2 separate regions of the Mus musculus genome follow, and region 1 is reported to be linked to region 2. Evidence: microRNA targets listed by miRTarBase, many of them from high-throughput screens and not tested one by one. Region 2 holds a microRNA gene; the other region holds the end of a gene's coding sequence.
The links. The annotated mature microRNA mmu-miR-7033-5p reads UCUCCAGGAGUCUGAGGGGCAGG and lies in region 2 at 2,983-3,005, shown strand. An mRNA with a match to its seed (bases 2 to 7 or 8) in the 3' UTR can be bound and repressed. Matches are read on the target gene's strand: a 7mer-m8 pairs with bases 2 to 8, a 7mer-A1 pairs with bases 2 to 7 and ends in A, and an 8mer does both.

Region 1: miRTarBase lists Npbwr1 as a target of mmu-miR-7033-5p. Seed matches in the 3' UTR shown: 7mer-A1 at 2,419-2,425 and 7mer-m8 at 3,264-3,270.

Annotation. Positions count from the first base shown.
Region 1 is chr1:5,910,290-5,918,227 of GRCm38, reverse strand. It overlaps Npbwr1 (neuropeptides B/W receptor 1), which reads left to right and starts at 830. Exons shown (of 1, transcript NM_010342.1): 1 at 830-4,521. The coding sequence starts at 935. The coding sequence ends at 1,924.
Region 2 is chr5:135,378,850-135,386,787 of GRCm38, reverse strand. Mir7033 (microRNA 7033) reads left to right here and starts at 2,978; the gene lies at 2,978-3,058. It overlaps Pom121 (nuclear pore membrane protein 121), which reads left to right. Exons shown (of 13, transcript NM_148932.2): 6 at 1,844-1,935; 7 at 2,622-2,695; 8 at 2,825-2,949; 9 at 3,059-3,161; 10 at 3,544-3,717; 11 at 4,252-5,868.

The DNA of each region.
Region 1 (7,938 bases), not on the chromosome of region 2:
TATAATAAAGAAATAAAACATGTTATGGGAACCTCATCTCCAACTGTTCTTCAAAAACAGGATATTATTTTTTTTAACTTTGTCATTCTTAGTTTTAGTTTCTGACAGGTGAGCTTTTTATAATTCCAGATGAACTGAATTAAAACAGCAGGAAGGCAGCAAAGAAGTCTTTTGAGGAAGGGGGCGCTGTTTTCTGTTAGATCAGAGGATTTTTCTAGGAGTGGAGTGGGAAAGGGTGACAGGTTGACTGAGCCGCGCTTCCTGTACTTCAGGTTCTTGGGAGAACTCCTGGAGAGTCCAGCAGTAGTCTCTGGGCAGACAACAGGAGACAGACTAGGCTGGCAGGCATCTCATTGCTGCTGCAGCGTCCTCCAGCAGACAGTGGGTTCCTCCCTGACCTCCCCAGGAAACTCAGATCTTTGCTGGGACTCGCCAGGTAAGATAAAGATTGCTGTTGCAAGTCCTATTATCTAGCGTGCTCGGAAACACACCTCTGCTGAATTCGCCGGTGTGACCTCAGTGTGAATTCCTTAAGCTCTAAAACAGGGGATTGGGTGCATTTACGGTTTCCTAGGAGTCAAGTGGCTTCTGCATAGCACTTTGATGTATTCAGTGGACTGGAATCTGATTTCCACAGGTGGAGAGAAGAGCTTGGGACACTGTAGCTACTTTCTATGGACCTCATTTCTCCTTAAAGCTATACCTCCAGAAATGTAAGCTGTGTTTTCAATTCTGTCTCCAGCCTTGGAGTCCCGGCGTCAGCGAGCTTAGTAGCAGCGGGGAACGCCCCCTCCGGTGCGCATCCAGAGAAAAGCTGTGACACTCAGGCAGTGCCTGGGTGCAGATCCCTGTAAACGTGGGCGCATAAACCTCGAGTTTCGCGGGGCTGCTGAGTGGAATCCTGGTGGTCGCCTGCTCTCCAGCCCTCTCCAAGATGCATAACTTAACGCTTTTCGAGTCTGGAGGGGACAACGTGTCTTGCGGCGGCTCATCTTTGGGCTGTCCCAACGGGTCCAGCCTGGCTCCTCTGCCGCTGCCGCAGCCACTGGCGGTAGCAGTGCCTGTCGTCTACGGGGTAATTTGCGCCGTGGGACTGGCTGGCAACTCTGCGGTGCTGTACGTACTGCTGCGCACGCCGCGCATGAAGACTGTCACCAACGTGTTCATCCTCAACCTGGCTATCGCCGATGAGCTCTTCACCCTCGTGCTGCCCATCAACATCGCGGACTTCCTGCTGAGGCGCTGGCCCTTCGGGGAGGTCATGTGCAAGCTCATTGTAGCCGTCGACCAGTACAACACTTTCTCTAGCCTCTACTTCCTCGCCGTCATGAGCGCCGACCGATACCTGGTGGTTCTGGCCACAGCAGAGTCGCGCCGGGTGTCCGGGCGCACTTACGGTGCAGCGCGTGCTGTCAGTCTGGCGGTGTGGGCGCTGGTGACGCTGGTCGTGCTGCCCTTTGCGGTATTCGCTCGGCTGGACGAGGAGCAGGGTCGGCGCCAGTGCGTGCTGGTCTTCCCGCAGCCCGAGGCCTTCTGGTGGCGTGCCAGCCGTCTCTACACACTAGTATTGGGCTTTGCCATCCCGGTGACCACCATCTGTGCTCTCTATACCACTCTGCTCTGCCGACTGCGTGCTATCCAGCTAGATAGCCACGCCAAGGCCCTGGATCGTGCCAAGAAGCGCGTGACCTTGTTGGTGGCGGCGATTCTGGCTGTGTGCCTCCTCTGCTGGACGCCTTATCACCTGAGTACCATAGTGGCCCTCACCACCGACCTCCCGCAAACGCCGCTGGTCATCGGCATCTCTTACTTCATCACCAGCCTGAGCTATGCTAACAGCTGCCTCAACCCTTTCCTCTATGCCTTCCTGGACGACAGCTTCCGCAGAAGCCTCCGGCAATTGGTGTCATGCCGTTCAGCCTGATGCCCTTTCCACCTCTTTCCACCGCAGGCAGCACTGCCAGCTGGGTTCAGGAGAATTCCGGGACTGTGGTTCCCAAGTGCAGCCCGAAATCCTGAGGCCCATTCCAGGCATTCAGTACCACAGGCCCTACCCAGGACTGATACCACAGGCCCTAACCAGGACTGATCCGGGATTTGCCCGGCCTTGAGGTGAGGCTGGTGTGTAGCATGCCTGAGGACAGCTTGGGCCAGGGCACCTTACTATTTTGTCCCCACAGCTGAGGGCAGGGCTTGACACCTGAACGTAGGGTAAATGGTGGGGCAGTGTTGTTGGAACGTGATTTTAATTCTCTCTCTATTTCACTGTGAGTAGGCTCCTAGGATGTCCCAGGCATCTCTTCCTCAGCGTTAAGTCTGTGTATTTTGTTTCTTTGCTTTCCACCACGGATGACCTCCCTGGTAAACAGCCTGGCCTGATGCTTCTTAGGAACACTCTAACTGCCTGGCCACGCCTCACTGGAGATGTGTGTGTGTGTGTGTGTGTGTGTGTGTGTGTGTTAGAGTGGAGGTGTGGTGGTGTGGAGGTGTGGTGGTGTGGTGGTGTGGTGGTGTGGTGGTATGGTGGTGTGGTGGTGTGGTGGTGGTGGTGAAGGGGGCTAGAACCTAGCTGTGACTGACAAGAATAGAGATAATCACCTGCTCAGTATGCCCCACCTTTCTTCGTTTTACCGAAGCCGATCTATATGGCCCTAAAAAGACTTTAACCGAGGCTGCAAAAGCCAAGAGTACAGAGAAATCACCGGAGAGTGAGGTTCCAGCTCCCTCTAGAGGAGTCAGGTGTACAGAACGTTTCTGAGCTGCTTTTGCACAGGGTGGTGCACCAGCCAACAGCTCTTTAAATCTTTGGTCCTTTGTAGCTTCTGTAAAGTAGTCCAAAATTTCCTTCCTGCCTCATAGCCTTCACAGGCTTCCCATACAACTTAGACCATTTCCTTGTAACTATGTACAGTTTTTCTGGACCAAGAACTTTGTAAATAATACATATATCTTACTCTCACAGTCTTCTTAACTTAGAGGAATATGAGAAATAAAAGATGAGACCTGTTCCAACTATGGTTCCCCTTCCCTGAGTATTCTTCCAGGACCTCCCTTCAGTGAGATCCAGGTACGGGAACCGCCTTGCATCCCTAGCTTTTTCTTGTCTGGACACTTACCTAACCACAAGGAACATCTAAATTTTGTCCAATTCTAAAGTCCCGGGGAACATCTGCTTCTGATTACCCACAGGGAACAGTCAACACCTACTTTCCTCTCTTTAGTCTCTACTTATGGAAGACAAGCTCCAGGCCTCCTCCTCGAGGCCTGGAGTAACCAGACTCATCAGTGATAGCGTCTTTTAAACGATATGTTTAGGATGATCCCCAGGAAGAAATGATATGATTTTCAAGTATCATTTTTCCTATGGGAAAGTTTGGTTATATGTGGAACCAAGACTCTTGCCAGCAGACTTTGTTTACAAAGTTTGGCATGAAAGTCAATTATTTCTCAGTTATTTGTATTCAATGTTCCCTTCAAAAATATGCAGAAGGGAAATACTCTCTCTTGCAAGAGGAAGGCTAAATTTCCCTCTGATTTTGGTGTATGAGAATTGATTGGTTCCTACGGTGTCAGAGTTGTGGGAAGATTGGGGTAATTTTCAAGTACAAACTGAGAAAACTAATTTAGAGGCTGTGTGTCTTGGGTGCAAATAACAGTAAATTGTCTAAAAGTTGTCCATCAGTCATGCACTTGAACCATGGTCATCATGGCCTCAGAACGGGCCTCTGCTGTGGCCTTCAGAAGTGTCTGGAATGTGTTCATAAGCTTCAGACTTCTGGGAAGCACTCCACAGATATTTCTTTTAAAACTTAAATTTTGTATGATTTTCTGTAATTTTTCCAAATTAGGATTTTAAAATTGAGCAACCTGTAGCTCATCCAGGGTGATAATAAAGGATGCAGTGGAGCTTTGGACACAGATACAGCCAAGTACTGTCACATTAATTGGAAACCCAGTCTCCATACATGCAGCAGCAACATAGATAAGAAGGAGGTCCTGGTAGTTTTCTGTCTGTCATGCCATTGCTGCTAGAGATAGGTTTATGTCTGTCTTGCAGTCTCTGGATGCTGCCGGAAAAACACAAGAGAGATATAACTGTACCCATCACAGCTCAGTACAGACTGGAAGTCTAGTTTGCATCAAGAGGATTCAATATCAGTGTCACACTGGCTTTCTAAAGCCCCTCGTGATCACTTCACCTTTCTGTGAGCATTTGGGCAGTTATATATAAATAAATATATAAATATAAGGCATCTATATTTAACCTTTTATCTCTTAAGTAAAACATAGAATAAATAAACAAGTCACATAGTAGGAAAATTTGTAATTCCATAGTTCTTACAGCCTTGGTGTAAACTATGTTGTTTTAACGCTTCTAATATCTAAAAGTGTGAATTTGGTTTTACTTATTTTAGTATAATTGTATAAAGTGGGTTTAATGCTTTCTCAAGAAATGCAGCAATTTGCTAATTGATTGCAGAAGATCCAAGTCTAAAATAAAAGGTGAAACATTCTGTGTGACAAGTGTATATTGTGTTTCAAAAAAAAAGCCTACCAAAAATAAAATATAAACAACTGCAACAACAGCCACTTACCTCCGAAAACCAAAACAACTAAACAATCAACCAAATGAACAAACAAAAAAGGACTCTTATGCCATACAATGGGTATGTATCACATGAATAGAAAGCTAAAACAAGCAATGCCAAGAGAAAAGAGTGGAGAAAGATTACCTGCAGCAGGTGAGTGAGCTTGAGAAATGGTACCAGGCCATGCTTTCATTGGAACTGGGAACAGCAGGGGTTTTATTCGGAAAGCCTACAGATATGCATATGAGAAAGCACTTCAGGGACATGCACATCTGAGCATACTCAGTTAGATGGATGCAACTAAGCATGCTCAGTTAAAGGTTATACTTTATTTTACTTTTAAAAACTGCTTTATTCATTCACATTCCAGATGTTGCTCCCCTTCCCAGTCTTCCCTCCAAGAGTTCTTCACCTCATCTGCTCTCCTCTTTGCTCCTTCAGTCTTTCCCCTAACTCTTCCGCAGGGATCCCAACATCACTCCAATGGTTGGCTGTAAGCATCTGCATGTGTCTTAGTAAGCTGCTGGTAGAGCCTCTCAGAGGACAACCATGCTAGACTCCTGTTTGCTATCACAACATAATAGTGTCAGGGTTTGATGTCTGCCCATGGGATGGATCCGAAGTTGGGCCGGTCACTGGATGACCTTTCCTTTAGTCTCTGCTCCAATTTTGTCCCTGTATTTTCTTTAGACAGGAGCAATTCTGGATCAAAAAGTTTGAAGGTAGGTTGGTGACTCCAAACCTCCACTGGAGGCCCTATCTCTCTACTGGAGGTGGTCTCTTCAGATTCCATCTCCCCACTGTTGGGTATTTTGGCTAAGGTCATTCCCATTGATTCCTGGGAGCCTCTCACATCTGGGAGCCATCTAGAGATTCCCCTTGATCCCCACTCTCTCAGCTGCAAATTTCCATTTGTTCTCCTGACCCTCTGGGCTTTTCTCCTGTCTCCCCCTCTAAAAACACCACCATATCTGATCATGTCCCACTTCCCTTCCCTCTCCCCTCTCCCACTCAGACACCTCTCTTTCTATGCCTCCCATGATTATTTTGCCCCCCCTTCTATGTGGGATTGAAACATCCTCACTTGGACCTTCCTCCTTGTTAAACTTGAAACAATTAAAGAGGTGAAATAGTGGACCAGAATACATTTGGGCACATTCAGCTTACATGGTAAATACTTGGTGGACAATATTCGTGGGTGTTCTCAAATTGCATTGTGGGTAGTGGGGTGGTCAGCACTGTAGTTACACTGCAGTACTGGGTCATAACTAAAGCACAAGAGATATTCCCAGAAATCTACTTTCCAAGTAGGCTTTAGGTATGGCATTCAAGTTCAAGGTGAGTTAATGTAGGACATCACTTTACCATAACATCACTTAATTGCTAAGTTTTGAAAATATTTTCTTTATGGGAAAGTCATACAATTAGTAGGCAGAGGGAAAAAATGAAGAGTGAAATCTCCATATACATCTCTCTTATTGGTTATTTTATTTATTTACATTTCAAATGTTATCCCCCTTCCCCGTTTTCCCTCCACAAGCCCCTGATCCCCTCCACCCTCCTCCTGCCTCTATGAGGGTGCTCTCCCACTGCCCACCCACACCTGCCACAGCAGCCTGGTATTCCCCTATTCTGTTTCATCAAGCCTCCTCTGGACCAAGGGGTTCCCCTCCCAGTGATGGCAGATAAGGAAATCCTCTGCTACATATCCAGCTGGAGCCATGGGTTCTCCCTGTGTACTCTTTGGTTGGTGGTTTACTCCCTAGGAGCTCCGGGAAGTCTGGTTGGTTGATATTGTTGTTCTTCCTATGAGGTTGCAAATCCCTCCAGCTCCTACAGTCCATGCCCTAACTTCCCCATTGGGGTTCTCGTGCTCAGTCCAATGTTTGTGTACATCCACATCTGTATTGGTCAGGTTCTGGCAGAGCCTCTCAGGAGACAGCTATATCAGGCTCCTGTCAGCAAGTACTTCTTGGCATCCACAATATAGTCTCGGTTTTATGTCTGCATGTGGGATAGATCCCCCAGGTTTCTGGATAGTCTTCCCTTCAGTCTCTGCTCCACTTTTTGTCCTTGTATGCCATTTAGACAGGAGCAATTCTGGGTTAAACTTTTGGAGATGGGTGGGTGGCCACATCCCTCAGCCAGGAGGACAATGTCTAATCTCTGGATATGGTCACGACAGGCTCTCCCTCCCCTTTGTGGGGTGTTTTGGCTAATGCCATCTCTGTAGGGTCCTGGGAGGCTTTTGCTTTCCTGGCATCAGGGACTTTCTGGTTGCTACCCCCAGTTCCACATCCTTCACTGCTATACACCTCTGTTTAATTTGCTTACCCTCTGTACATCTCCTCCAACTCCTCCCATGCTTGATTCTTCCCTTCTTTTCCCCCTTCCCCTCTTCTTTTCGTCCCAAGTCCTTCCCACTCTTTATTTCCCTTAATTATTTTGTTCCTTCTTCTAAGTAGGAAGGAACCATCCACTCTTTGGTCTTCCTTTTTCTTGAGCTACATGTGGTCCATGAGTTGTATCACCAGTATTCTATGTTCTTTGCCTAATATCCGCTTATCAGTGAGTACATACCTTTGAAAAGAGGAGCTCCTGCCACTGTAAGGAAGGATTGCACAAAAATATTGGGCTCTATATTTGCATCAATGCTACATTAAAAAACAACAATAAATAAAACAGAAACTCAACATAAAAATCAGCAGGAAGAACCATGATAAACTTACAAGAAAGCATCAGCAATATTATCATCATCCTGACTTCACTTGCTGGGTTCTTATCTTTCTATATTTCTTTTGAGTTATCATTTTCGTGACAATATTTCCTAAAGATTGAACATATAGAAATGTTTCCCATTTCTCTATTGCCACACTTCTATGTTAAGTGTTCTGGTTTAACTAGTTACTATAATGGGTATATTTATGCATATCCTTTATCTTTTTCCCTTTCACCATTTTGTTATGGTATGCCTAGATGTGTATGCATTCCTTCACCTCAAATCTTAGCTGTCATACTGTTCCCTTTCCTCCTGCCATATGGACAACTAACTGCATTACCTGGATGTGTGTATGTTCCTTTTTTTCCCTTGTCATCATATAACGGTTCATCATTTATCTTTTTGTTTACCATCCCTATTCTCATATAAATCATTCATAGCCACCTTGTATTTTAAAATGATCATGATAATTCTAATATCACCTGAAACTGCTGAAAGGAGAAAAGCTACCATCAACTGTTCTTTGTGAATAAATAACTACTAAAACACAAAATTACATCATTTCACAGTTAAAACATCAGCCTGTTTAGAATAGGTGATTTAAGCAAGACTCATCAACATATATCAAAA
Region 2 (7,938 bases):
CCCTCTGTTGCTTTGCACTGAACCTGTCTCTAGGCTAACTGGAATACAAAGCAAATTAACGAGATCAGTGGGACTGAACAGAAAGCAAACCTGGTCCAGATGGAGCAACCTGCAGATGGACCAGTGCAGTAAATGGTACTGATTTAGAAAGGTTTTGTTCCCTTTGGAATGTAAAGGAGATTTATTTCTTTATTTTAAACTTTCTTTTTTTTTTTTTATTACGTATTTTCCTCAATTACATTTCCAATGCTAGCCCAAAAGTCCCCCATTCCCCCCCCCCTCCCCTACCCACCCAATCCCACTTTTTGGCCCTGGCGTTCCTCTGTACTGGGGCATATAAAGTTTGCGTGTCCAATGGGCCTCTCTTTCCAGTAATGACCAACTAGGCCATCTTTTGATATATATGTAGCTAGAGACAAGAGCTCCGGGGTACTGGTTAGTTCATAATGTTGTTGCACCTGCAGGGTTGCAGATCTCTTTAGCTCCTTGGGTACTTTCTCTAGCTCCTCCATTGGGGGCCCTGTGATCCATCCAATAGCTGACTGTGAGCATCCACTTATGTGTTTGCTAGGCCCCGGCCTAGACTCACAAGAGACAGCTATATCAGGGTCCTTTCAGCAAACGCTTGCTAGTGTATGCAATGGTGTATAAAGGAGATTTATAGGCAAGTAGGATTTAGTGTAAGCTTTGATTCATGAAGTAGATGTCATTCTTGTTTAGAGTTCGTTAGAGCCCATAGGTGGGGAAGCCAGGCAGCTCCACTGTCAGGCACACTTGGGCTCCAGTATTGGTATTGACACTAGGAGGTGCACAGGCTCCTGCAGGTAGATCAGTCGCCCTTGGTGTTTGCTTTTGCCTTTTGAGACAAGGTCTCATGTATCCCTGGCTATTGTGCATGCAGCTCAGGCTGGGTTTTAACTAGTAGTGATCCTCCTGCCTCAGCCTCCAAGCACTAGGTGTTCAGCTTGCACCACCATGCCCAGTTTGTATCTAATACTCATATTCATGGAATATCAGAATCTGTAAAAATAGAGGCTGTACTTTTTACTATAGATGATTTTTGTTAGAATATGTAATGAATACAAGAATTACCTCTTTATTTCTTTTTTAAGATATTTATTATTTTTATGTATATGAGTACACTGCAGCTGTCAGACACCCCAGAAAAGGGCATCTGATCCCATTATAGATGGTTGTGAGCCACCATGTGGTTGCTGGGAATTGAACTCAGGACCTCTGGAAGAGCAGCCAGTGCTCTTAACTGCTGAGCCATCTCTCCAGTCCTTTTATTTCTTTTTTTAAGATTTATTATTTTGCAGTATGTGGTGGAATACTCTAACAAGACCAGCCTGGCCTACATAGTAAATTGCAGCCAGGGCTATGCAGTAAGATATGGTCTTAAAAAAAGAAAAGAAAGATATTTTTATTTATTTGAGCCTGTGTGAGGCCAGAAAGCATCCATCATCCTAGGAACAGGGTTACAGTATTTGTGAGCAGTCTGGTGTGGATGCTGGGAACCAAACATGGGTCTTCTTCAAGAGCAGCAAGTGTTTCTTAACCACTGAGCCATCTCTCCAGTCTCTCAGAAAGGTTTAGTTTTGCTGTGTTTCTTGATTTTTTTTTTTCTTTTAGTTTTTTGAGACAGTCTCTCAGTAACCCTGGCTGTTCTGGAGCTCACTATGTAGAGCAGGCTGGCCTTGAACTCACAGAAATCTATCCACCTCTGCCTCCTTAGTGCTGGGATTAAAGGTGTGTGCCTTCCTGCCTGGCCAGGTCAGAATATCTGCCTACATAGCCATATTGTCAGTAGTAGTTTCAGATTGTCTCTCTGCTTGACTTGCAGCTGTGGAAGAGGAGTGGTCCCACATCTTCTCCCTTCTCCAGTCCAGCTTCCTCCCGCTCCCAGACACCAGAGAGGCCAGCCAAGAAGACAAGGTGATGACCGGTCCCTTCTGGTCACTTTGTGTGGACAGGGGCAGCGGGTTTAACAAGGATTAGCTGTTGGGCTGCTTTATCTGACTCAGCAAATCAGAGTCAAACCATACAAGAGCAGCAAAGTGCCTGCTAGAGTTGTGTCCTTGTCCTACAGTGTGAGCAACTGATGGTTGGGGTCCCTTCTCTGTCTCATACTCCAGTGGGAGTGGTGCAGAGGCCACTGGGAGTGGAGTGCAGAGTGGACCGGGTCAGCAGGGAGCCTGAGTCCCTGGCCCCAGCTCACCCTTCACTGGAGCTCGGCTCCCTCGGGGATCAGGTCTGTCTGTGTCTGGCCTCACCTGCCACCCAGTCTTTTTTATTTTCCCTATCTGTCTGCCTGTCACGGGCCTGCTTTCTCACCAGCTTCACTCCTCGCTCCTAGCACTAATCTGCTGTTAGAGCCTGAAGATGCAGTCTGGGGCCTGGACTTGGCAGGCTCTGAGGGAAGCTTTGCAGATCCCTGGTCTATATTTGATTAAAGGCTGGTTGCTCATGGCCTATAACAACTGCCTGCCTTCGTTTCTACAAGAACTGCCACATGGTGATATGCTGACACTAGAGCCATGGGAGTGTGCAAGTGTGTGTGTGAGGTGCTGTGCCGTCTCCAGGCCTTCCCAAATAACATCTAGCTTTCACAATCCCCACAGAGAGGAGGAGCCATGTCAGCAGTCCAGTTCTTCACCTCCCTTGGTGACAGACAAGGAGTCCCCAGGAGAAAAGGGTAGGTAGAGAAGCCATGGGCCCGAGAGGAGCATCTCCAGTGAAGTTCACCGTGTTACTCTGGGTGGGGCAGGGAAGATCGTCTTGTCCTTGAGTAGGGAGGTCAGCAAGCCTGTGTTTCTGTCTGTAGTTACAGATACAACCACTGGGAAGCAGCAGAGCTCATGGACTTCCCCACCCACACCTGGCAGCTCCGGGCAACGCAAACGCAAGATCCAGCTGCTGCCCTCCCGGCGAGGGGACCAGCTCACCTTGGTATGTCTTGTCTATCCTTCTCGGCTCTTTTAGTCTCCAGGAGTCTGAGGGGCAGGGTCGTCTCCAGCATCTTGGGCTTGGCCTAACCTGCCTCCATTCTCTTGGGCAGCCTCCACCCCCAGAGCTTGGCTATTCCATCACTGCTGAAGACCTGGACATGGAGAGGAAAGCCTCACTGCAATGGTTTAACAAGGTCTTGGAGGACAAGCCAGGTCAGGCTGGGCGCAGTGTGCTCCGCAGTGTCTCTGTATTCCTTTTAGCTTTCCTTGGAAGAGCAGTTGTAGAATACTTGATTTTTCCATTCATTATCCAAGGCTGTCTTCAGGGTCATAATCCTCCTCCTGCTTCAGCCTCCAAAGTGCAGGGTTGCAAATGTGCACCATTACAACCAGCTCTTAGATGTTTGTCCCCCCTGATTCCACCAGGGCTCTTATTAACAGGAACTGTCACTAATACTTTTCCCATGGGACATGGAAGTTTTGTTGTTTGTGACAATAATGTTACTGTGTCCCGAGTGCTGGAGCGCAGGCCGGGAGCCAGCAGTGAGGTTAGGAAGGAAGGAGCTCCCATGTAAGAGGCTTGTCTCTCCTCCAGATGATGCTTCCGCCTCAGCCACTGATGGCCCCCCTTCCACCAGCCCTCCCTTCACATTCACCCTGCCCGCTGTGGGGCCTGCTGCCTCGCCAGCCTCCCTCCCGGCTCCCAGCTCTAACCCACTGTTGGAGAGCTTGAAGAAGATGCAGGAGTCTCCAGCCCCATCATCCTCGGGTAAGCAGAGCAGTGTGCCCTAGGGTTACAGGCTTTTGACATGATGGCAGTGAGAGGCTTCAGACTGCCCTGGTCTGGAAATACACAGGGACAGCTGTAATACTGTGATTCAAAGGCAGCTGCCCCGAATCTGTGTCATTGATAAATTGAAGGTGTTGGGTAAGGCTGGTGAACCTTGCCAGCTAGTGCCTTCGTGCTACTGCACATGCACACACTGTGTAGCTGACTTCTCACACTGGAGTGCAGGCGTGCTGATGCAGCTCGGGGCCAGGCAGGCACCGTTTTGCTAGGGTGGTGAACATGGTGGCTCTTTGAGATGAGCAGGCACCTGTGTGTGTAAGGCAGTGCAGACAGTTGCAGGAGTAGCGTTCTCCTTCATGGCCACATGTGCAGCTCCAGTCAGGCTCCCTACTCTTCCCTTCCGCCTTTCCTGGAATCTGGGAGTCCTGGTGTGGTGGCTGCTGGAGGGGGCAGGCGTGCTGAGTGCCGCCCTCAGACACCCTCAAGACTCACCTCACTTCCTTTTCTTCTCAGAACCTGCTGAGGCAGCAACAGTTGCAGCCCCTTCACCTCCGAAGACACCCAGCCTCTTGGCCCCTCTTGTCTCACCACTGGCAGGGCCCCTAGCCAGCACCTCCTCAGACTCCAAACCTGCAGCCACCTTCCTGGGGCTGGCTTCTGCTTCGTCTATAACCCCACTCACTGACAGCAAGTCCTCTGGAGTCTCTCAGGCTGAGCAGTCTGTCAGCACCCCAGCCTCCACAGCCTCCTCCCCGACCCCAAAGCCCAGCATGCTGTTTGGGATGCTGAGTCCACCTGCCAGCTCTTCCTCCCTTGCCACTCCAGCTCCGGCTTGTGCTTCTCCCATGTTTAAGCCCATTTTTCCAGCCACACCTAAAAGTGAGAGTGATAGCCCCTTACCAAGTAGCTCCTCAGCCGCCACTACAGCTTCATCCAGCACCGCCCCTCCCACAGCAGCCAGCACCACACCCACGTTCAAGCCCATTTTTGACAAGATGGAGCCATTCACAGCCATGCCCCTGTCAACTCCCTTCTCCCTGAAGCAGACAACTGCTACAGCCACCACTACAGCCACATCAGCTCCTCTCTTTACTGGCCTGGGCACTGCCACTTCCACGGTGGCCTCTGGCACCGCAGCTTCTGCCTCAAAGCCTGTCTTTGGCTTTGGAGTGACCACTGCAGCGAGTACTGCCAGCAGTACCATGACTTCCACTTCCCAGTCAGTTCTGTTCGGGGGAGCCCCCCCTGTTACTACTTCTAGCTCTGCCCCAGCTCTGGCCTCCATCTTCCAGTTTGGCAAGCCTCTTGCCCCAGCAGCATCTGCAGCAGGCACCTCCTTTAGCCAGCCCCTTGCCAGCTCTACCCAGACTGCTGCCAGCAATAGTGGCTTCAGTGGTTTTGGCAGCACCCTCACCACCTCCACCTCGGCCCCTGCCACCACCAGTCAGCCCACGCTGACCTTCAGCAACACTGTCACCCCCACCTTCAACATTCCCTTTAGCTCCAGTGCCAAGCCTGCGCTCCCAACCTACCCTGGAGCCAACTCACAGCCCACATTTGGAGCCACCGATGGGGCCACCAAGCCAGCACTTGCCCCAAGTTTTGGCAGCTCGTTCACTTTCGGCAACTCTGTGGCCTCAGCCCCATCGGCAGCCCCAGCACCAGCCACCTTTGGCAGTGCTGCACAGCCAGCTTTCGGAGGGTTGAAAGCCGCAGCCTCCACCTTCGGCGCCCCTGCCAGCACTCAGCCAGCTTTTGGTAGCACCACGTCTGTGTTCTCCTTTGGGTCAGCTACCACATCTGGCTTTGGTGCTGCTGCCACCGCTGCTACCACCACACAGACCACCAACAGTGGGAGCAGCAGCTCTCTGTTTGGCAGCTCTGCTCCATCCCCATTCACATTCGGTGGCTCAGCAGCTCCTGCTGGCAGTGGAGGCTTTGGCCTTAGTGCTACCCCAGGCACCAGCTCCACCTCTGGAACTTTCAGCTTTGGATCTGGACAGAGTGGGACCCCGGGCACCACCACCTCCTTTGGAAGTCTGAGTCAGAACACCCTGGGCGCACCCAGCCAGGGCTCACCCTTTGCCTTCAGTGTGGGCAGTACACCTGAAAGCAAGCCTGTGTTTGGAGGTAAGTTTGGCAAGCCTGTTAAGGGTGAGTGCACAATAGTCTGCCTGCAATGTTAAAAGCCAACTGGCAATCCAAACTAGCATGGGAGGAATCCTGTGTAGTCAGGAAAGGTTCCTGGAGGGTTGGAGAGATGGCTCAGCGGGTAAGACTTCCTGATCTTAAAGGGAACCCAAATTTAGTCCTAGCACACACATCAGGTGGCTGTCACTGCCTATAGCTGCGGCTTCAAGTGTCTGATGCCTTCATCTGCCTCCATGGGCACTGCATTTTGTATGCACACACATACTTTAAAAAAAAAAACTTTAAAAGATAGATATTATGTGTATGTGTCTTTTGGCTGTGCGTATGTCTGTATACCACATGTGTGCTGGTGCCCACAGCAGCTAGAAGAGGGTGTTAGATCCCTGGGACCTGTGAGCTGCTGTGTGGGTGCTAGAAATTGAATCTAGGTTTATTAATGAAAGGAAAAGATGTTTGGTGTATACGGTCATCCTTAGCTTTATTTCATATGGTTGCTCATGCTGCACAGGAAGGACTTTTAACTCACCAGGCCATCTTCTCAGCTGTTGTAATTTATAGTGTGTGTGTGTCCACCATGCGTGTCTATGTGTACATGCATGTTACCATGGTTTACAGATAGGGATCTGGATATAACTTTATGGAGTTGGTTTTCTGCTTTCCCCTTACTTCTTAATTCTGAGGCTATACCTCAGGTGGCCAGGCTTGTGCTGCGAGTGCTTGTCGTCTTCACGCAGAGCCAGCTCACTCGCTCCTTGTTTGTGTTGTCTATGTGTGTGTTTGATACTGTTTTCTAGTGTAGCCCAGGCTGCCCTCAAATTCAAGATCTTCATACTTCATCTTCCCAAATGCTACAGTGATAGACGTATACCCACCGCAGGCTGCAGGGAAGGGTACTGTCAGGGCATAGAGGCAGAAGCAGAAGGTAGGTTCATGAGCAGAGAATAAGGCACGATTGGCTGGAGATTGCAATGCTGCTGGCAGAGTACAAGGTTGGTCATAGCTAGGTTCATTGTCTGGATTTTAAATGTCCAGGGAAGTCACAATAGAATTTTAAGCTTAAGGGTCTCATCTGCTGCGTGCAGGGTAAATTTTGGCCCTAAGAGCCGCTGACTTCTTTGGTAAATAGGAGAGAATCTCTTGTGAATTGGAGAAGATGGCCAAGGGCAGGATGCAGATCTGTTGAGGGAGTTGCTGGGAACATGAGAAAGGGGATGTAATGAGAGACAGTGGAAGGCTTGCAGCGTCTGGAATAAGTAGGTGGATGGGGCTGGGGAGACAGCTCAGTAGCCAGTGCCTGATGCTTGAAGGGTGGGGATCTGATTCAGTCTCCTGTGCTAAGAAGCTTGATGAGGCAGTGGCAACCTGTAATCTCAATGCTGGGTGTGGAGGTAGGCAGAGCGCATGGGCAGGAGACCCAAAATAGGCAGCTCCAGCTCAGGGAGAGCTCCAGAGACACCCAGTGTCAACCTCTGGCTTCTGTACTCTCCCATAGATGAGTACTACTCTGGTGCAAACACACACACAAACACACCAGATAATACTCAGGCTCTGTGTGTGTGTGATTAGCACTAAAAGGTCCTGAGTCTTGTGAAGTCACTTAAGAATGGTGATGGGGAGGGTGATGATTCAGGATCCTAGGTGGGGGAGGTGATTGACTGATAGATGACCCTCCAAAGGACCAGAACTGTTAATAAGAGTCTGGGACCCAAACCTCGGGAATTGGCCTGGGTGTGGTATGGCATGCCTGCCATCCCAGCACTTAGGTTTGGGCAGGAGGTTGGAGAGTTGAAGGCCAACCTGGGCTAAGCAGAAGACCCAGTCTCAAAAACAGCATAACAATGGAATTGAGTGTTTGAGGTAGGAGGGGAGAGAAGTGGTCTGGAAGCAGCATCAGAGACAGACAGCCCTGAGACATTATACAGAGCAGAGCATCCTGGGAAGGAGGGGGACCCTACAGATGAATGAGAAAGAAGGGGCAGGGAACCAGGGAGGGATTAACCTGACAGCACGCCTCACCCTCTCCCCCATCTCACTGCAGTTGCATAATGG